Linked DNA regions of Macaca mulatta. The protein of the gene in region 1 purifies or fractionates together with the protein of each later gene. This does not show direct contact. Links are inferred from orthologs where the notes say so. Each region holds a gene or a part of one and is shown in the gene's direction. Other genes may lie near its edges.

What was found.
Region 2: the proteins of DBN1 (region 1) and HOMER3 purify together in Homo sapiens (co-immunoprecipitation; 3 studies listed by BioGRID and IntAct, counting the BioPlex papers as one, with this or other methods). This does not show direct contact. The link is inferred for Macaca mulatta from reciprocal best matches to the Homo sapiens genes DBN1 and HOMER3.
Region 3: the proteins of DBN1 (region 1) and GSN purify together in Homo sapiens (co-immunoprecipitation; 3 studies listed by BioGRID and IntAct, counting the BioPlex papers as one, with this or other methods). This does not show direct contact. The link is inferred for Macaca mulatta from reciprocal best matches to the Homo sapiens genes DBN1 and GSN.
Region 4: the proteins of DBN1 (region 1) and HOMER1 purify together in Homo sapiens (co-immunoprecipitation; 3 studies listed by BioGRID and IntAct, counting the BioPlex papers as one, with this or other methods). This does not show direct contact. The link is inferred for Macaca mulatta from reciprocal best matches to the Homo sapiens genes DBN1 and HOMER1.

The regions. Positions count from the first base shown.
Region 1 is NC_133411.1:186,453,713-186,459,419, reverse strand, and holds the start of DBN1 (drebrin), read left to right. Parts: upstream 1-2,035; 5' UTR 2,036-2,148; coding exon 2,149-2,234; intron 2,235-2,639; exon of another isoform or gene 2,640-2,894; intron 2,895-5,707. UniProt on the Homo sapiens protein: Actin cytoskeleton-organizing protein that plays a role in the formation of cell projections. Required for actin polymerization at immunological synapses (IS) and for the recruitment of the chemokine receptor CXCR4 to IS.
Region 2 is NC_133424.1:19,491,159-19,496,091, reverse strand, and holds part of HOMER3 (homer protein homolog 3), read left to right. Parts: intron 1-2,448; coding exon 2,449-2,556; intron 2,557-4,050; coding exon 4,051-4,172; intron 4,173-4,933. UniProt on the Homo sapiens protein: Postsynaptic density scaffolding protein. Binds and cross-links cytoplasmic regions of GRM1, GRM5, ITPR1, DNM3, RYR1, RYR2, SHANK1 and SHANK3.
Region 3 is NC_133420.1:36,869,100-36,873,692, reverse strand, and holds the end of GSN (gelsolin), read left to right. Parts: coding exon 1-59; intron 60-2,140; coding exon 2,141-2,201; intron 2,202-3,219; coding exon 3,220-3,389; 3' UTR 3,390-3,624; downstream 3,625-4,593. UniProt on the Homo sapiens protein: Calcium-regulated, actin-modulating protein that binds to the plus (or barbed) ends of actin monomers or filaments, preventing monomer exchange (end-blocking or capping).
Region 4 is NC_133411.1:85,877,332-85,883,064, reverse strand, and holds the start of HOMER1 (homer protein homolog 1), read left to right. Parts: upstream 1-2,563; 5' UTR 2,564-2,661; coding exon 2,662-2,666; intron 2,667-4,432; exon of another isoform or gene 4,433-4,999; intron 5,000-5,733. UniProt on the Homo sapiens protein: Postsynaptic density scaffolding protein. Binds and cross-links cytoplasmic regions of GRM1, GRM5, ITPR1, DNM3, RYR1, RYR2, SHANK1 and SHANK3.

The DNA.
Region 1 (5,707 bases):
AGAAGGAGACAGAGGACAGATGTCTGTCTGCATCCTATAGAAATGAGGGGATGAAGATAACATGGAAGGGTGATGGGTGCGGAGACCAGAGGAGTGGGCTCTAGGGCATGCCAGCAGGGAACACCCTTGCTTCCCTGAAAATAGGGAAAACTGAGTGCAGGGTGTATGGGAACTCTCTATACTATCTTTGTAACTTTTCTGTAAATCTAACACTGTTCTAAAATAGAAAGTTTATTTAAAAAATGTTGATGGCAAGAGGTGAGAGTGGGCGTGGCTGGAGAGTTTGTAGGTGGCTGGTGGGGAGGCAGGAATTTGAGGAAGGAAGAGCTTAGATGCATTTAGGGCTTCTGTTTTTTGGATGCAAAATTGAGTGTGCAGGAGGCTGGGGGGTGGGGGGACGGGCGGGGGGTTGGTGAGGAGCTGTGAGCTAGGACAAGTCAAAGGAAGTTGGAAGAGGCTGAGGCCACAGATGCTCATGGCCAGCCATCTGTCTGCCCCTCCCCGGCTCCCTCCTCCCCAGAATTCTGCTCTCATGCCTCAGGGTGGGGGATGACTGAAGCCCTGTCCCCCATGGCTCTCCCCACTTCCCTTTCCCACCTTGTGTCACCCACTCCCTTAGGGATCCCCACTGCATGCCAACCATACCTACTGGCCAGTTGGTCCAGTGCACAGGGCCTGGGTCTCTCCCTGCCTGGGCCTCACTCTAGTAGAGGCCATGGAGAAACTGCCACGGCCAGTGGTCCCTAGACATAGTGGGCACTGACTTCCCAAGGCAGGGCCTGTGAACATTTTGAGTTTTAAGAGGGTTCTCCCAACTCCAGAGCACCAGGAACCGCTGCCACATAGGCAGCACTGCTCTCCTTCTCTTGGCATAGCCAGTTACCCAGTGCAGAACTCGGAGGCCGGGCTAGAACCACCTCCTCCTCCGTGGTGCGGATGGGACCAGGTGAAGTTTGTTCAGGGAGGTCGAGGTTGGAGACTTTGTTGTGGTCCACTGAGCACTGTGGACGGTTTCAGGGTCCTCACCCAGCAAGGAACGGAGTTCTGGGAGGCCCTGGCATGGTGTCCACTCCCTTGCAGGGGACTTTTCTGAGGCCCCCTCCCCTTCTGTGCTTAGAGTTTTAGGAGATAAAGGTGCCAAGAGGCTGGCCCTGAGCGTCCTTGGAGGAGCTCTGCCCTGGGAGTCTGGGGTTAGGTGCTGCTTCCGGGACTCTACTTGGGACTCCTCTGGGATGCCTGAGGCTTGGGAGAGAACGCAAAGGATTTCCTAGCTAGCCCCGTCTCAGAGGGCACAGGCTTGGAGGGGAGGAGAGGCCTGGAATGGAGGGATAATGAGCCGGGTAGCGGCTGAGAATGGCCTGGAATAACTGGTCATGGAGCCGAGATGGGGGACTGTGGTTGGGAATTGGGAACTGGGATCAGGATGAGACTGGGATGGGCTGGACTGAAGAGGTTGCCGTGAGAAATGTTGCGGGGGAGGGGGAAAGTGCTAAGCATGGGGCTGAAGCTGGGATGGGAAAGGAACTGGGTTGGATTTGAGGGTGGGATGCAGATGGCAGTGGATATGATGATAGACTAGGCATGGACCTCTCAGAGAAGGAGACGGGCCAGGGGTGGGCTGGTGTGTGACCTGGCTTGGGATGAAAATGGGTTTAACATGGAGTGGGACGCACCAGGAATGGAGATCAATGAAGCAATGGGTGGGGCGGGACCGGATTGGGACGGGGGGTGGGCGGGGGGAGGTGGCGACGGGGCTGGGTTCGGGGCTGGAAGGAGGGCTAGCGCCGAAGTTACGGACGGGGCAGGTGAGGGTTCGGGACGTGGGTGGGGCTGGCCCCGGAGCGGAGCGCAGGGGCGGCGGGTGAGGGGCGCGGGGGCGCCCGGGGCAGGCCGGGAAGGGGGGGCGGGCCTCCCCCTGGGCCGGGCCGGGGCGGCGCTAGGACCGAGCGAGCGGAGGGAGCGAGCCGGGCGGAGCCAGCGCCCCCCGCCCCCCGCCGGCCGGCTCCCCTCCCCCGGCCGCTGGCTCGCTCGGCTCGCGACGCTGCAGAGGCTCCGAGGCGGCGGCGGCGACTCCCTCTTTCCCTCCCTCCTCCTCCGTCCGCCCGTCCGTCCGCGCGTCTGTCCGTTCGGCCCGGTCCGGCCCGAAGCATGGCCGGCGTCAGCTTCAGCGGCCACCGCCTGGAGCTGCTGGCGGCGTACGAGGAGGTGATCCGAGAGGAGAGCGCGGCCGACTGGTGAGCCCCCCGCCCCCGCCCCCGGCCCCTTTGTCCCCGCGCCGCCGCCGCGCCTTTGTTTCTCTCCCGCCCCGCCGCCCCGCCGCCGGGAAGGGAGGGGGACCCCGAAATGGTGCAGCGGGCCGGGAGGGCCGGGAGGGGCTGCCTTTGTGCGCGCCGGGGGAGGGGCCGGCGGGCCAGGCGGGGCACTGCCGGGTCCCAAGTGCCCGGAGGCGGCCCCAGGCGCGCGGTGGGAGCGGCGGCCGGACGCGGCCCGGAGGCGCGGGGTCCCGATGTGGGGCCCAGGGCCGCGTGGCCCTGCGGGAGCCCATCCCCCACCCTACCCCCGGGCCCGGGGGACAGGTGTGCACGGGGCGGCCAAGGGCACCTTCGCCACCTTCGAGCGGGCGAGGTCCGGGTGGGGACGGGGCGGGGACCGAGCTAGCGGAGCCAGCGCAGCCTGCCTGGTTCATCCCGGCCCGGCCACAGCACAAAGGAAAGCGAGGGCGGGGGAGGAGCGGAGCGGGATGGGGGCCGGGCGCCCCGCCCACCGGGGGGCCTCTCGGAGTGGGCCGCCCTCCCCCCGGAAACCTGGGCTGGAGTGAGGTGGAAGGATGTTTGCTGCCACATGGCGACCGCGAAGTGACTCCCTTACCGCCGCGGGTCGCGGAGGAGGCAGGGGTGAGCTCTCCTCCCCTACCTGAAGGGGACTGCGGGGACTAGGCAGCTGGCTGGGGGGCACTGAGCTGCCTGTCTAGGGCGCCAGCTGAGGTCCCTGGGAGGAAGCCCTCTGGAGAACAAGTGTGGAGGGAGCCCCGAAAGAGGGCTGAAGGGGTGAACAGATCCACGGGCCCCTACCAAGGGGCCCTCGGTCCCTGATGGGGGAGGAGCTGGGCCGCCCCTCTCCCCGCCCCCCAACTGCTGTCTCCCCCTGAGCTGGGGGAGGGGATGGACCACCTGCTCTGGGGCTGGCTGGCGGCGGAAAGAAGAAACCGAGGGGTTCCTCACTGCCCCATCCTGGAATCCTCTTCCTCCCCGCCCCACCCCGTAATACTCTTGGGGAAGGTGCCCATCTGGTTCCTAGGCCTCCTCTCCCCGCTGGCAGATGGGAACAGGCTCTTCTTGAGGAAACTGAGGCAAAGAGGAGGGCGGGTCTGAAGGACCCCGCTTGGGCTGGCCTCACCCACACACTGGGCGGGCAGTCAGGTGGAGACTCTGACCTGGGGGCTCCTGGAGGAGAGGATGAGATGGCTGGGCATCCATGGCATGGTACTGCAGCACTGGCCAGCAGCCAGGCCTGGAGGGATGGACGCGAGAGAGACAAGCTCTCGTGTCCTGCAGGTCAGTCACAGGAGAGGCCAGCACAGACTCAGCAGGCAGGCGGCCCACCCATTGTCCCAGCCCTGCCCCAGGGGGCTGAGATCATGGGAGGAGCTCTGGGCAAGTGGCCGGCTTGGCCTGGTGTAGGAGCTGGCTTCAGGGTAAGGCCCCGCCTGGGGAGAGGCACAGCTCACCCCAGAACACCTCCTTCGCCCTCCAGCCTGGAGGGGTGTTGTCTGCCACCACCCCATTTTCTCCTAAAAGCATAGCCCTGGTGGCCTATTGCCAGGGCCACAGAACCCCTGTTGCTCAACATCCTGCTCAACAGAGGCCTGCCCCCCCCACCCCAGCAGCATCCATGTGGCCAAAGCGAGTTATTCATCACTGGTGTGCGTCACCCCCCATCTGGGTTGTGTGTGGGACACACAGATGCACACATGCACATATTTGTTCACTACGGGCCCAGATCACATTTTGAAAAAGGGGTGTGAGGATCACTTTCTGCACAAGAGGATATGAATACCCCAGTGCCCAGCATGGAACCAGGGGTGCAGTGAGGTCTGAAGACTCAGAGGCAGACGCTGCCCGTAGGTCCAGAGGGAGGGGTGTCGGGTAAATGGCTGTCTGCCCCCGCTTACCTTGCTTCCAATGGGGAGGGGTGGTTGGGGGGGAGTTCACTCTAGGTGGCAGGGCCTCTGAAGTGGACCACTACTCTGGCACAGGGAGCAGGGGACCCAGGAAATGAGGTTGTATAGTGGGAGGGGCCGCTGTTGTCCTGGTTGTGATATGACTCACTGTGATCATATACAAGTTCCTGGTCCTCTTGGAAAGAAAAAGGATTGGGCCCAGCCCTACCTCAGATACTGAAGGACTTTCTAGCACCACCATCCTGAGAGTGATGGTCCTGAGGGGTCCACCTGCCCTCACCCCCCAACCCCAGCTCACCCGAGGGTCTCTGGAACTGCCACATTCCAGCTCCCATCTCACACTAGTTCAGTATCTCTGGCTAGATGGCTTCTAAGTTGGTGTCAATATTACACATGCTTATGGTGTGCGGTGTGCTGGACCCCAGGACCCAGAGAGCAGGATGTGCTGATTGACTGAGTCAGCGTTCCTGCCTTCAGGAGGCTTACAGTTGGGGGCAGTGTCTGTCTCTAGGAGTTGGAGCTGGTAAGATATGTAGGGGTCCTCTACCCCATCCTGATTCCCTGTGGTTTCACCAGCTTCCACCTGGTGCAGCACCAGGCTCGGGATGCCTCTGATGTGTTTGAGAAGCACTGGTCTTTGTATTCCTGCTGGGATGTGGTGGGTGCTCTGGGAGGGGCAGCTCAGGGGAGGCTGCCGGGGGCCAGCAGCCAGCACTGGGCTCTGAAGAACGGGAGGATTCCACTGGGAATAAGCGTGGGGTAGAGGAGCAGGTCTTGCCTTCCATGTGAAGAGAACAACATAGGCAGAGGCTCCAGGGTGAGCCCTGTCCAGAACCCTGCCTGGGTCAGGGAGCCGTCCAGTGTGGCCCAAGTGTGTGGTGTGGACAGGGCAGTCTGATGGAAAGGCAGGCTGGAGGGTTTGAACTGGGGTATGGTTTCTGCTGGAGAAGGGCTGTCGCTGGAGCAGGAAAAGGTGGCCGGAGGTGGGTAGGCAGGGGCTGAGGATGGAAGGCGCCCCAGGGAGCCTGGGCAGGCCAAGACAGGTCCTCTCAGGGACGCTTGATGTCTAGAGCAGTCTCTAGGAACTAGGGTCCCTGGGCTCTGCCTCAGTTTCTCATCTGTGCATGGAGAGGGACAGAGCCTGCTTCTCTCAGGGCCCTTTGTTCCCGTGGTGGGTTAGGGCAGCAGAACAGGTGGTGGGCCAGCTGTGCTGGGAGCAGCTGTCAGGGTCAGGCTGGAGCTGGGGGTAACAGTTGGACCAGGAACTCCCAGCCTCCCAGCCCACCTGTGTTCCTTCCTGGAGGTAGGAAGTGGGGAATTCAGGAAGGGGAGGGGCTGGGGCCATTTGGCCCTGGCCACAACCTCTTAAGATGTCCCCTCCGTCCCTCCCGCCTTCATTTCCTTTGTCCCTTCACTTCTGTCCTTTCTCTTTTTCCTCCTCTCCCTGTTTCTCCCTCTGCTTCTCCCCTCCTCTTTCTCTTCCCCTTTGCCCTCCCTTACTGCCTCCCCTCCTCACAGCCCCAGCCT
Region 2 (4,933 bases), on another chromosome or scaffold:
CAAAATTTTTGTTTTTTTAATTTTTGTATTCTTAGTAGAGACAGGGTTTTACTATGTTGGCCAGGCTGGTCTCAAACTCATGACTTCAGGTGATCTGCCTGCCTCAGGCTCCCAAAGTGCTGGGAATACAGGTGTGAGCCACTGTGCCCGGCCTAAAAAATTATTTATATATTTATTTATTTATTTTTTGAGACGGAGTTTTGCTCTTGTCCCCAAGGCTGGAGTGCAATGGCACAATCTCGGCTCGCCGCAATCTCTACCTCCTGGGCTCAAGCAATTCTCCTGCCCCAGCCTCCCAAGTACTAGGATTACAGGTGCCCGCCACCATGCCCGGTTAATTTTTGTGTTTTTAGTAGAGATGGGGTTTCACCATGTTGGCCATGCTGGTTTCGAACTCCTGACTTCAAATGATCCACCCACCTCGGCCTCCCAAAGTGTTGGAATTGCAGACCTGAGCCACTGCACCCAGCCTGAAAAAAAAATTATTTATTTATTTATTTTATTTTATTTTATTTGAGTTGGAGTCTTGCTCTGTTGCCCAGGCTGGAGTGCAGTGGCCCAATCTCAGCTCAGCAAGCTCTGCGTCTTGGGTTCACTTCATTCTCCTGCCTCAGCCTCCCAAGTAGCTGGAACTACAGGCGTCTGCCACCACACCCGGCTAATTTTTTGTACTTTTAGTAGAGACGGGGTTTCACCATGTTAGCCAGGATGGTGTTAGCCAGGATGATCTCGATCTCCTGACCTCGTGATCCGCCTGCCTTGGCCTCCCAAAGTGCTGGGATTACAGGTGTGAGCCACCGCGCCCGGCCAAAAATTATTTTTAAACGAAGGACATTTATTTTAAAACCAGGGTATGGGGGGAAACCTATCCTATTCTAACTGGAAAACTGGTATTGCTTGTCATAAATAGGTGGTAAATGTAAACATGTAAGCATTTAATACAACAAAAACAAGAATGGGATGACTACTTTCTCATTGACTTCCGATGTCTCTCAGAGCCTGAGACCTAAAAAAATAAAATTTAAAAAAAGGAATAATAACAGGTGTTAAAGACAGATTAGCACCCACCTCAGGCTGTCTTTGTTGAAATAGCCCTGATAAAGATGAAAAGGGGCCCAATGTGTTGGCTCATACCTGTCGTTCTCACACTTTGGGAGGCCGAGGTAGGTGGATCATGGGGTCAGGAGTTCGAGACCAGCATGGCCAATATGGTGAAACCCCGTCTCTACTAAAAATACAAAAATTAGCCAGGCGTGGTGGTGCGGGCCTGTAATCCCAGCTACTCAGGAGGTTGAGGCAGAAGAATCACTTGAACCTGGGAGGCAGAGGTTGCAGTGAGCCGAGGTGGTGCCACTGCACTCCAGCCTGGGTGACAAAGCGAGATTCCATCTCAAAACAAAACAAAACAAAACAAAAAAATGCTGGGTGCTGTGCCTGTAATCCCAGCACTTTGGGAGGCTGAGGCAGGAGGATCACTTCAAGTCGGGAATTTAAGACCAGCCTGGCCAACATGGTGAAACCCCATCTCTACTAAAAATATGAAAATTGGCCGGGCGCGGTGGCTCAAGCCTGTAATCCCAGCACTTTGGGAGGCCGAGACGGGCGGATCACTAGGTCAGGAGATTGAGACCATCCTGGCTAACATGGCGAAACCCCGTCTCTACTAAAAACAAAAAATTAGCCGGGCGAGGTGGCGGCGCCTGTGGTCCCAGCTACTCGGGAGGCTGAGGCAGGAGAATGGCGGGAACCCGGGAGGCGGAGCTTGCAGTGAGCTGAGATCTGGCCACTGCACTCCAGCCTGGGTGACAGAGCGAGACTCCGTCTCAAAAAAAAAAAAAAAAAAAAAATATGAAAATTAGCCAGGCATGGTGGTGCATGCCTGTAATCCCAGCTACTCAGGAGGCTGAGGCAGAGGCTGCAGTGAGCCAAGATCATGTCACTGCACTCCAGCTTGGACAACAGAGCGAGACTCCATCTCAAAAAAAAAAAAAAGAGGAAAAGGGCCATTCTGGGGAACATGGCTAGACCCCGTCTCTAGAAAAAATTAGCCAGGCATGAGGGCACACACCTGTAGTCCCAGCTCCTTAGTGGAGGGATAAGGTAGAAGGGTCACTTGAGCCAGGGAGGTCAAGTCTGCAGTGAGCCCAGATCATGCCACTGCACTCCAGCCTGGGTGACAAAGTGAGACCCTTTCCTAAAAAGAAAAAGAGAAAACGGGAATTCCTTTCCCTTTCTCAGCGTGGCCCAATGTATTTAAATGCCACCTCTGTGATCTCATGCCACCTGCCCACCCACCGTGGTTTATCATTCTTCAAACTTTCCTTCTTCCAAGGTGTGTGATAAGGGGATGGGTACAGTTCAAAAGTTACGGGGCTGTCACTGGGTGATGGTGACGTGTTTGGGAGGATGGACTGGGGTTTTACTGTCTTTTCCTCCCCACTCCCTTAGTTTGCTGAGAAGTTCCAGGAGGTGAAGGAAGCAGCCAGGCTGGCCAGGGAGAAATCTCAGGATGGCGGGGAGCTCACCAGTCCAGCCCTGGGGCTCGCCTCCCACCAGGTCAGCACTCCCTACTCTCCTATGCCTGCCTGGGCACCTGTGAGTCAGCCAGGTGCTCAACGGATATTAGGGGACCTTGATATTGGGAGACTGGGGCACTGTGCTGGTCCTCAAGACCCAATGCTTCCAGATGACCTAAAGTTAGACCCATGGCAGGGACCACGGAGGAGGGGTGTGGAGTGTGTCATAGAGGGTCTGGACCTTGCCTGGGGCCGGCGGGGTGCACCCAGTAGGTCCCAGTAGCAAGACCAGCTCAGGCCGGGCGCGGTGGCTCACGCCTGTAATCCTAGCACTTTGGGAGGCCGAGGTGGGCGGATCACGAGGTCAGGAGATCGAGACCATCCTGGCTAACATTGTGAAACCCCGTCTCTACTAAAAAAAAAATTAGCCGGGGATGGTGGCGGGCGCCTGTGGTCCCAGCTGCTCAGGAGGCTGAGGCAGGAGAATGGCGTAAACCCAGGAGGTGGAGGTTGCAGTGCGCTGAGATTGCACCACTGCACTCCAGCCTGGGTGACAGAGTGAGACTCTGTCATGGGAAAAAAAAAATCAGCTCAGATGGCAGGATGGAAGACTAGAAATTGAAATGCTAAGTGTGGCCGGGCGCAGTGACTCACGCCTATAATCCCAGCAATTTGGAAGGCTGAGGCGGGAGGAGCACTTGAGGCCAGGAGTTCAAGACCAGCCTGGCCAACATGGTGATACCCTGTCTCTACTAAAAAATACAAAAATTAGCCAGGCGTGGTAGCATGCACCTGTAGTCCCAGGAGGCTGAGGCTGAGGCCGGAGAATCGCTTGAACCCAAGAGGTGGAGGTTGCAGTGAGCCGAGATCGTGCCACTGCACTCCAGCCTGGGTGACAGAGTGTGACTCTGTCTCAAAGAAAAAAAGGAAAGAAAGAAATGGCTAAGTGTGAGGCAGAACAACTAACTGTCCCTGTGTGTTTTCCCATATTAATTTAGTCAGCTTTATTTATTGAGCACCTGCTGGGTACCAGGTCCAGGGCTGTGCAGAGGGGTTGCTGAGATGAAAAAAATCAGGCTGGACTCTGTCTACCCTCAAAGCCAGTGGTCCAGGCAGTGGGGTTGCTCCTGAAATATGGATTCAGCCTGGGCTGGACTTCCTGCTGACATCCTAAATGGGATGTTGAAGTTCGGCCGCAGGGAAGGGAAAGCAGGGAGCTGTTCGATTGTCCCCCTCCCCTACTTTACAGGTTCCAAGTATCTTGGTTTAGACTAACCTGCATCAGACTTGCTCCTGGGGATGGTGAAAGCCCAGGAAGGCAAGGTTGAGGGCGTGGGCATGGAACTCCCAGCCTAGGGGCCATAGGGAGCCATGGAGGGTGCATGAGGTGGGGGAGGGACACACTTGGATCCTGTGCTGTGAAGGACCTGCTTAGGGTGCGTAGGTCAGTTGGACCCCCGATGTGACGACCCCAGTCACATCAGCCTTGATCCCAGCTGATGTGGGGTCGTGACCTACTCTTCCCCATGCACAGGTGCCCCCGAGCCCCCTCGTCAGTGCCAACGGCCCCGGCGAGGAAAAACTGTTCCGCAGCCAGAGCGCTGATGCCCCCGGCCCCACAGAGCGGGAGCGGCTAAAGAAGATGCTGTCTGAGGGGTGAGGGGCGGGACTTGGGGGCGTGGCATGGGCGGGGGTCGGGGTGGGGGATGAGGAGGCGGTTCTCGGAAGCCAAGGGAGTGCCAAGGATCTAACTGTGGACCCAAGATCTGGGGAAGGGGATGAGGATATGGATGCTGCCCCATCCAGAGCCGACCCCGCCCCTACCCTGCGTTGGCCACGCCCCTCCGTATTGACCCCACCCCTGTCTCGCTGCTAACCTCGCCCAGTCTATGTCTCTCTGGGTTTAGGATAATCCTGGGGCGCCTCCCCACCCCGACCACGCCCCCATAGGCTGACTCTCCCCAAACTCCCATCCCTCCCCCGCCATTCCGACAGTGTCACTGGGTAGATTCCATGTGCCCCCTTCTTTGACTCGGTCCTCTACAAGACCCCACTTCTGCGGGACTGTGCCATCCCCAGGCTCAGCGCTCAGTGTCGCCACGTCCCCAGCCTTGCGTGGCCCTGACTCAGTCCCCCACCCCAGAGCTACCCCACCTCTGGCCCCGCCTCCTAGCCCAGCATTGCCCGTGACTCCGCCCCAGCCTAGCACCACCCACCCATGGCCACCCCCCCAGCCCAGCATTGCTGCTGACTCCGCCCCCAACCCAGTGCCACCCCACCCTGGCCCCGCCCCCTGGTCCAACCTCCCGCCCAACTCTGCATCCTCGCCAGCCTTGGCCCTGACCTAAGCTCAGAGCTATCCCACCCCTGTCCCCGTCCCAGCCTAGCATTGCCCTGATTTCACCCTCAAGCCCGGT
Region 3 (4,593 bases), on another chromosome or scaffold:
AGCTCATGCAGGAAGACCTGGCTACGGATGATGTCATGCTTCTGGACACCTGGGACCAGGTGGGTGAAGGACAGGTGAAGGCTGTCTCTGCCAGAGGGAGTGGGAGAAACTAGACTTCCAGTTCTATGATCAGTTGCTAGAAGGACCTAAAAGAGGCAGCGCCAGGTGTTGCCAGAAAAGTCTCTAGGCTACTGGAAGTCACTTCCTCTTTCTGAGCTTCCATTTCCTCATCTGTAAACTGGGAGTGGCGGTACCTTCCTTGCAGATACACTCACCTTGAAAGCTGCAAAATGCCCTATAAAGCCAAATCACATGACCTTCATCATTCTCTCCCAGGCCTTGCAGGAGCATGAACTCTTCCTTTAAATCTGTTGGCGGGGGATGTTGAACTTAGCAGCATCTTGTTTGCAGGCATAAACTGTCCAGTGTCACCTAGCGACTCTAGAGGGCTCCTGCTTCTGGTTTGGGGGCTCTTGGCTCTGTCTCCACTTCATCTCCTAGAGAAGGCCATTATGTAGGACTTCTTGGCAGGGGAAGGTGCCATTCACTCACTCAACCAGTATTAATTGGGCACTGCTTTGTACCAGGTGCTTTATGTTTGAGATGCTAGGGATAGAGCAATAAATAAAGTAGGCGTTTTCGTGCCCTCCCAGGGCTTACGTTCTCACGGGGGTGTCAGGTCAGTCATCTTTCCTATCAAGGTGGCTTCTCCCAGCGTCCTCAGAGTTATGGAGTGACTGACCACGAAGGCATAAGAATACACTACCCACAGTGCTGGTCGGAATACCCGGTTGGAAGATCAGGACCAAAAATGGTTGCAGCTTGAGCCATTCAGCAGTTGTCATTGATTGATCCATTGGCTACTTAATCTGTTTGTTCATCTGTTAGGGATTCAGTCAGCCAACATTTATTCAGCACCACTGTCTTCCAGGCAAATGCTGAGTGCTGAGAATCCTATGATAAGCAAAATAGATAGAATGCCTGCCTTCGAGGGGCTTCCACTTTAGTTGGGAACACATTTATAAATAAGTAAGAGAGGGCCAGACACGATGGCTCATGCTTGCAAACCCAGCACTTTGAGAGGCTGAGGTGGGCAAATCACTTGAGGTCAGGAGTTCAAGACCAGCCTAGCCAACGTGGTGAAACCCCGTCTCTGCTAAAAATACAAAAAAATTAGCCAGGTGTGGTGGTGGGTGCCTGTAATCCCAGCTACTCAGGAGGTTGAGGCAGAAGAATCACTTGAACCCAGGAGGCGGAGGTTGCAGTGAGCTGAGATCACGCCACTGCACTCCAGTCTGGATGACAGAGTGAGACTCTGTCTTAAAAAAAAGTGAGAGAAACCAAGTCTGACATTTTACTGTCTAATGCCATTTTATCAATGATAGGTGCTCTTTGAAGTAATATTTTAGATATGCATAAAAATAGATGATACATAAAAATCAGCTCAATAATGTGACATAAAACTTGTAACAAGACTCAAAATGGGGATCACGGTGGGTGAGTTATTTTTATTCCAAGCCGTAGGCCCATTTTGATGAAGATGCACACAGACTGGGATGTAGTAGACTCTCGGTGCATATTTGTTGGATGAATAAATGAGTGAGAATATTTTGGCCACTCATTTGTTGAACGAGTGAATGCTGTTCAGAGACAACTTATGGACCTTTAGAGAAGAATCTCGAACTCAATGCCTGATGGCACCTGGCTGGCAGTGTTAGCGAGTGAAGCAGACTGGGATGGGGAGATGTGAAGGAACAGTGGAGTCTGAGGCAAACTAGAACCGCCCATCTCAAAGGGCCGGCTCCTGCACAGCTTGACTCAAGTGAGGTTTGAAGGCCCAGGCTGCTAAATCCTCCAGTTTTTTAAGAGAAGTTGGAAATCTAGATTTTTATGTCACCAATAGTTTAAAAAGACATTGTTGGCCAACACAAGGTGGTGGGTGAGCAAACAAAACATGTTTGTAGGTTGCTGGCTTTCAACCTCTGTTCCAGATTCCTCCAGTGTTAGTTCATGGGCTCTCTTAGTAGGGGCTTAAAAAGGGCTTTGTCTTTTCTGACACCTGGCCCCTCCCCAGTCTTCCTCCAGCCGTGCATTTGGTCAGCACCCCTCATGTACCTTTCATGTCTCATCTCACCTCCAGGTCTTTGTCTGGGTTGGAAAGGATTCTCAAGAAGAAGAAAAGACAGAAGCCTTGACTTCTGGTGAGGACCCAAGTCCCTGGGGGAAGGGGGGGTCCGTTGCTTGTGGGGTGGTGGGAGTGGCTTCTGTACAGGTCTGGGAATGAGCATCATTTCTAGGGGACTGATGGACAAGATAGGGTGGGGACTTCCTCCTCTGTGGCCAGCCCCTTATAAGTCCTGCCTGGGGTAGTGAAGAACACATCTTTCAGAAGCCTCAGGGTTTCTGAAGGAACTGATCTGTTCCAGAGGAAGGAAGGAACAGATGAGAAGTCTCTTCAAGTTCCCAGAATACTCAGGAGCTGAACTTGTCAAGGTTTAGATGTGGCAAAGCAGGCCAGGCATGGTGACTCATGCATGTAATCCCAGCATTTCGGGAGGCCAAGTCAGGAGGATCACTTGAGCCCAGGAGTTTGAGAGTAGCCCAGGCAACATAGTGAAACCCCATCTCTAGAAAAAATACAAAAAAATTAGCCAGGTGTGTTGGTGTGTAGCCGTGGTCCCAGCTACTCAGGAGGTTGAGGTCAGAGGATTGCTTGAACCCAGGAGTTCGTGGCTGCTGTGAGCCATGATTGCATCACTATACTGTAGGCTGGGTGACAGAACGAGATGGTGTCTCAAAATGAAAAAAAAAAAAAAAGAAAAAGATGTTGCAAAGCAGATTCCGGGTAGCTGAATAGATCTGATTTATGGGCTGGGAACCCAAAAATTGGTTCCCATATCTTCCAGTAGGGGACTACAAGGGAAAGTAATAAACTTTATGAAGCAGGAGGTTAAGCCATAACTCCATCCCTTCCTGTGTTCCTGAGCAGGGTGGTAGAGAACCCACGTGGGTATCATGCCTTTAAAGGAGGATGGTGCCCAGGGCAGGGGGTGGGCAGTAGGGACAGTAGGACCATAGACCTACTGTCTTTTGACCTTTGACCTACTGTCTTTTGACCTTTGACCTTCTTTGTCAACTGCTGTCCTGAGTCACCCTCTCCCTGGTGTGGGAGGCACTAAGAATTCCTGGGGTTTCCTTTTCTTGCACGTGTGTCTGTAGCTAAGCGGTACATCGAGACGGACCCAGCCAATCGGGATCGGCGGACGCCCATCACCGTGGTGAAGCAAGGCTTTGAGCCTCCCTCCTTCGTGGGCTGGTTCCTTGGCTGGGATGATGATTACTGGTCTGTGGATCCCTTGGACAGGGCCATGGCTGAGCTGGCTGCCTGAGGAGGGGCAGGACCCACCCATGTCACCGGTCAGTGCCTTTTGGAACTGTCCTTCCCTCAAAGAGGCCTTACAGCGAGCAGAGCAACTCTGCTATGAGTGTGTGTGTATGGTTTTTTTGTTTTTTTGTTTTTTACAGTATCCAAAAATAGCCCTGCAAAAATTCAGGGTCCTTGCAAAATTGTCTAAAACATCTGTGTTTGGGAAATTAAATTCAATAAAAACATTTTGAAGTGTGTACTCTAGTGTGGCTCAGCTGTTTCCTTGTGTCCATCTGACAGTGAGAGCGAGCGTCTGCCCTGTCTATGTCCCTGGTAATTCTGAGAATGCCCAGAGAGGTGCCTCGCATTTGCCTGTGAACTAGCAGAAAAGCTGCATCCACCCTGTGTGTGAATCCTGGTGCCCTGAGAGGCGATGCCACAGTGAGATGAGAGGTGTGTAGATTGTCCTGGGGGATACCTATGTGAAAGGAAATAGGGAGGGCCCAGGCGCGGTGGCTCACACATGTAATCCCAGCACTTTGGGAGACTGAGGCGGGCGGATCACCTGAGGTCACGAGTTCAAGACCAGCCTGGCCAACATGGTGAAAGCCCGTCTTTACTAAAAATAAAAAATCAGCCAGGTGTGGTGGCACATGCCTGTAATCCCAGCTACTCAGGAGGCTGAGACAGAATCTCTTGAACCCAGGAGGCGGACGTTGCAGTGAGCTGAGATCGTGCCATTGCACTCCAGCCTGGGCGACAGAGCGAGATTCTGTCTCAAAAAAAAGGAAATAGGTGGGGAACCAAGGAAGACTGGGAGAGCCATCAGACCCTAGACGCAGGTCTGACCCTAGGTGGAGAAAAAGGGGAGAGAAGGTTGCACGAAGTGTCTTAGTGGTCATTTATTTAATCCAGGAAGATTTGGCAAAGCTTGTCGGCAGTCCCAAAGCCAAATTCAGTGTTCCTTTTAAATTTAATGGTATAGTCCCATTTTCATTGTTTTTTACTGTGGCAAACTACATAACAACGTATTTATTTTAACCATTTGTAAGTGTGTATTTCGGTAACATTGCATATACAGTGTTGTGTAGCCATCACCACTCTCTGTACCTAAACCTTTTTGATAATCCCCAGTATAAACGCTCTGCCCGTTAAATACTAATCCCCCATTCTTCCCTATTCGCCAGCCCCTGGTAACCTGTGTTTTACTTTCAGTCTCAGAATTT
Region 4 (5,733 bases), about 100 Mb from region 1:
ATTATATACTATGTGGTCAAAACTAAAGAAGATAAAAATATGCTTGTGCTAATGAAAAAGGATTTGGTGGTCTTTCCAATTTTTAATTTTTAATTTAAATTCCACAGACTGAAACCCATATATTTTTTTCTCTTTCTTGTTTTATTGTCTGGAGGCAAGTGTCACGGAACTCATATTCTTGATGAAGAGAAACTGAGAGGACACACTGGCATTTGCTATGCATGTGACGATAATTATCTGAGTGAACTAAGACTGACTCATTTTCCTATGCCAAAACTGCTCTTTTGCAAATAAAATTACTATCCTTTATAACATTACTTCGTTTGCTTATTGCTCTGCTCTTTATTCTTTCGTGTTTCAGGTAACCAATAAGAGAAAAAGTTTAAAAGTCCACTACGTCCAGAATGGCACTCAATAACTGAAAATTGAGGTAATTTTTCCGAAGTTCTTGTTGGAAGTACATCTACCAGTAGTGTGATCAGGCTCTCCCTCCCACATTTCCCTGCTAGTTAGGACAGGAGAAGCCCGGGGGTGCTGCTGCAACAGCGGTGGGAGTGGGAGATAGGATATTACCCGCTTGACACTTCTGCACTTCTGCTACGAATGATTCACTCCGGTTTGGCACATTTGTTGCAAGGAAATCTCCTCCCGCCGCTTCCTTGTTCGAGCTCCTCTCGGGCTGTCTCCTGTGCTTTGGCCTTTAAGGAGAAGCGAGAGCAGGTGGGCACACAGGAGCTCGCCGAGTCCTCCTCCCCCTGCTCCTTCCCTAATTTAGCAGTACTTCCGGCCGCGTGACATCATCCCCCGCACCCCGGTGACGTGAGCAGCGGGTGACGTGTGTGCGGAGAGGAGCGCGCTGACGTTGCTACTTAAAGGTCCTCCTGCGGGGAGGATGGAGACACAGCGCGAGCACCTGGTGTGGGGCGCGGAGGAGGCTGTGGCGGCCGGGAGCGGGGCCAAGAGCCAGCGGAGGAGCAGAGCGCACGGCCCGCCAGCCGCCGGCCTCTAGGGGAGGGGGGAAAACAAGGACGGACGGACTGAGGGCCTGCCGCCGGCCCAGCTCCCCACGAGGGCCGCTCGGCCCCGCACCACCATCCTCTCCGCCGCCTCGCGGCTGCTGCTTGCTCCCGCTGCCCACTGCCCGCAGGGCCCGTCGGGCTCCCGGGACCCGTCCGCGCACCAGCCCCCAGCCGCGGCTCCGCGGCGGCCACCGCCTCCCGCCCTCTCCCGCGAGCAGGGGGAGGTACCGCCCTCGCCCCCCCGTTCTCTCCGCCCCCTTCCCGCCCCCCGCAGCCCACTGCCTCCGCGCTCGCCTCACGCCGGCGGCGCTGACTGGGAAAGCGGCACCCTCCGCTCTGCCAGCCGGCCGGTGCAGGCGGAGGCAGCGGCGGGCTTCAGGCCGCCGGGGCTGGCGCTGCTCTGCCCGGCGGGAGCCGGAGGCCGGCGGAGGCGGGCGCTGATGGAAGTGTGAAGAGGCGGCGGCGGGGCCCGGGGAATGTGAGGCGGCGCGTGGCGGCGGCGCGGAGCGTGAGAGACGAGGAGCAGGGGTGGGGGCGCTGGAGCGGCGGCTGCGCTTCGGCTTCGAGCCCAGCTCTCCTGGCCCCGACGCGGTCTTAGCCTCCCGCCTTGGCTCGGGCAGGCGCCCGTCGACCCTTCGGCCCCTTTCGCCCGCCCTGGAGCTGGGGGCAGGGCGCCAGTGGAAGCGTGGGGCTTGGCTCTGTGATTCATTCATTCTCCGCCGACGGGAGCCTCAGATCCGCTGTGCTCTGAAGAGAGGAGGGAAGAGGGGGCAGCCGCGAATGAAGGGCCGGGCGCGAGCCGGGCTCCATTGTGCTCGGCGGCGGGGGGCGGGAAGGGGCTGAGGGAGGTGGGATCGGGCCCCCTTCTCCAGCTCCCCGGCGTGCGCTGCGCCCCCAGCCTGCTGCCAGCCTGGAAATGGCTCCGTTTATTCTCCTCGGGAGAATGAATCGATCCTGCCCAGCCTTCTCTTCCTCCTCCCCACCTCTTCTCTGCTCCGAGTCTTAGGAGAAGAAACATTAAAAAAGACAGATTCCAATGTGGAGTGCCGTGCAGGTTGGGAGCTGCCGGATTTGCACTTCGAGGAGATTTTTCTATGTAGTTTTTTTCCTAATGTGAGCGCAGGGAAGCCGTGGCATTACTGCTTTTGGGATTTTTATTCACGTGCACGTCGCGTTTGGTTGCTCGCTCCACCCCCGGGGACCTGGTGTGGTGGAGAAATTTGAACCCGCAGCCTTAGCTCTGAAAAGGCCGAGTTACCTGGCTTTCCCTGAGTGTCGAGGAGGACATGAGTGAAATGACCAGCGAACTCATTTTTTTATAGGACTCGGTGAAGCCGGATTCTGCATTTTCCTACTTGTAGACTCGTTTTGTGGAATAGAATTGATCGCTGTCTCCTCCGCAAAGCGTTTTAACTCGAATAAGCAAATGCCGCCTCTGTTTGAACGTTTTGGTATTTACAAGAAAGAAATCATTTTACCTAAGAGAACTAATTGAATTGGCAGCATCCTTGAAATACCTCCGGACAAGGATCTAGGGGTGGGGGTGGAAAATCAACTGCGAAATAGCAGACGGAGAAATTCCTTTGGAAGTTATTCCGTAGCATAAGAGCTGAAACTTCAGAGCAAGTTTTCATTGGGCAAAATGGGGTAAGGATTTTTGTGCTTAACACAGCTTCGAATCTGTTTATGTATGTGTATTATTGAGCGGTGGTGGTGATTGCGTTTTGTGTTTTCAAACAAACTTGCCACCTTGCTAAGCTGGTCATACTTTAAAGAAATAGGCATGCTAACCTTTTAGGTTATTTTTGCCTTTTTGTAGAGCGGTACCAGAGGTCGTAAACACATACATCGTTTGTAACTTGAATATGGATTTGTGAGTAATATTTACAAAGACAACGCATTCTACACTTTACTGGTCAGACTGCTGCATCAGTTTGTCATCAGAATCACATTGTCTTAGCTTTTGCTGATGGTTATCTTTCAAAGAGAAGTACTACACTCTCTCAGTACTTTTAGATAATCAGTTGCACAAAGGAACGATTGTAATGAGTGGTTAGACAACAGTCCTTGAAAGTGATCCAGAGTAAATTGTTGCCCTCACGGTGCCCTCTCTTTTGCCCTTGAATATCCAAAGCTAAAATGTATAGAATTGATTTACTGGGACGTTAAAACGAAAATCTGAAATTCAGTCTTACTGATGCGGTCACCACGGTGCGGGTGCATTCCGTACGAAAAGGCTTTTTGTTTAAGGAACTTGTTCACTCCTTTTGTTTTTCGCTTTTAAGCTCAGCCCTTCAGTTTGTGTTAACAATATCAGATCTACACCTTCCTTCGGACCCAGAACCAACCTAGAGTGCATTTTCCAGTCTTTTATTAACTCTTCACACTGTGGGTTGATGAAATGCTAGTGACACTTCCTAATTTAAGCTGGAAACCCATAATATATTAATGGAGTAATCTGATTTCATTGACAGATTGTCATTGGTTTTTGGCGGAAGAACATCCAGAATTTTCTCTCTTTGTGTGTGTGTGTGTCGTTGAACAAACACATCTAAAGTGTAGTTGAGGGACAGGTTTTGAAAGAATGGACTCTGAAATTCATTGTGATGGTTTAGGGGTGTACACACGCTTGAAACTTTCTGAGGAAAGTTCCTGAATAGTACCTTCTTTTTGGAGTTAGAATTTGAAGTTTAATATGCATAACTTTGAAAATTTAGAACGTGTTGTAGGAGACTTTCCTCAGAAATGAATGACAAAGTGATAATTGTTTTAAAAACTTGAATGACAAGTGATGAGAGTATATATAACTTGCATGATTTGGGGGTACTGCTAAGAGTAATTAAAATGCCTCATTCTATTTCTAGCGCTGCTATTAGTAGCTTAGTGATCTGAGGCAAATTGCTTAACCTCTGTGGACTCTATTTCTTATCTGTAAAATGAAGGAATTAGAGATGACTTAAAGATTTCTTCAAACTGTAAAAAATGAATTATTTTCTTTTTATTCTCCTCATTTTAATGATCACTAGTTGGTTTCTGGAAGTCGATCTTTCTGATGGAGACCTTTTTCTCTCTAAGCAGTTTAAGCACTTAACGCTGAAAAATAATGGCATTTGAAAAATGTTCTGGATGAATTGCACCAATTTTACATGAGAAAAATACTGAAAAATACTACTGTTCAAAACCTTAGAAATATGGCTTCCCTTGAGCATCTGCAGCTCTGTTTAAAACATGTTGGAGGAAAAAAAAATCAAGCAGCAGTTTTTCATGTTGATGGCTGCATTTTGTCTAGACTGTGAAGTAGTAGCATCATGGAAGAAAATCAGTTTTCCACAACCTTTAAGCTGCATGAATGCCTGTCATTTTACCAAGGGAAGCTTAGGCTGAATATTTTTTTCCTGCCTCAGGTTCATTTGTACAAATAGCACAGGAGGACCCCAGCCCCATGCAGGTGGCAGCCTGGTTGGGGGTTGCACCAGTCCTGTCCTCACGTTGGCAGACAGATATCTAATCTGAAGCCTTTGTAGGGGCCTGGGCACCTTTGGGAGCCTTAGCTGGAACTGAAGCTGGAGCTGCAGCCTGGGCCTTGGTTTTATCCTTGTCCTTGGCCTTTGGCCAGGACAGCCTGAGCCCCTTGGCAGTGCGGGCATGAGCATGCTTCCCAGGCTTGGGGTGGGCAATGTAGTCAAGTTGATTGAGCTTGCGGATGACACCCTTTGGGATCTTGGGCTTAACCTCCTTGGGCTTTATGAGGGCCTTGATAACCTTGGCACATGTACTCATGGCCTTGGCACTGTTAGCCTGCATCTTTTTTAGGCCCTTCTTGTTGTGTTTCTTGGCAAATCGCATGTTCCTCAGGAACTTGGGGTCCACCCCCTTAAGAGATTCGTATCTTTGTGATTGGGATTTCTTGATACCATTTCTGTGCCATTTTCAGGACTGGTTGTGTGTGGTGTGGTTGTTGGTCTTGGTTATGTTTGCACCTTAAGCTACGGCTCCTGAAGTGCCTAGAACCGGAAGAGACAGGATGAATTTAATACTGAAGGGGCTACTGTTTAAAATGGGAAAGTAAGCCCCACACATAACATGTATTTAGACACTTAGCATAATTAATTTGTTTATAAATGAATGTATCTGTCCTTTAGTCAATAAAGTCCTATATATGGACTGAGGAGAAAAAGGAGCGAGCATTTTGTGGTGCTATTTTTTGGAAAGCCTGTGTTTGGGGCTATTACCCTTTCTCATTGATAGTGCCTTGTTTTATCTGAGTTGAGAGAGGAAGGGTAGGTGGAAGTAGAAGAGCGTACAGCAAAGCAAAGGCATTTGCTGATGTTTCTACACTTTATGCGTATTTATGCCTAATAAATGTTTGTGGAATTCGCATAGCTGCCTGGGCCTATTTCAAACAAAAGGAAACAGGGCTTTAAATGGCCTTTAAAGCTTTACCTTAGCAATCATTAATTACCTTGCTGTAATAGATATCTAACATTTAATACTCTGGGTAAAGTGTTTCATATATTACAACTTTTTTTTTTAAACTAATGTTAGGTTATGATAAGGATTTATCTTTGTCTTAATTGTAGATAATTATTGCAAGTCTAGGGGCAGTCTAAGCAAAGGAATTATTTTTAATAAAATCAGTGATTGGGCAGAAAAAAATTATGGCTCCCCTAATAGTAGTTTATGAACTTTGTGGAAATGGAAAAGAACAGCTGAA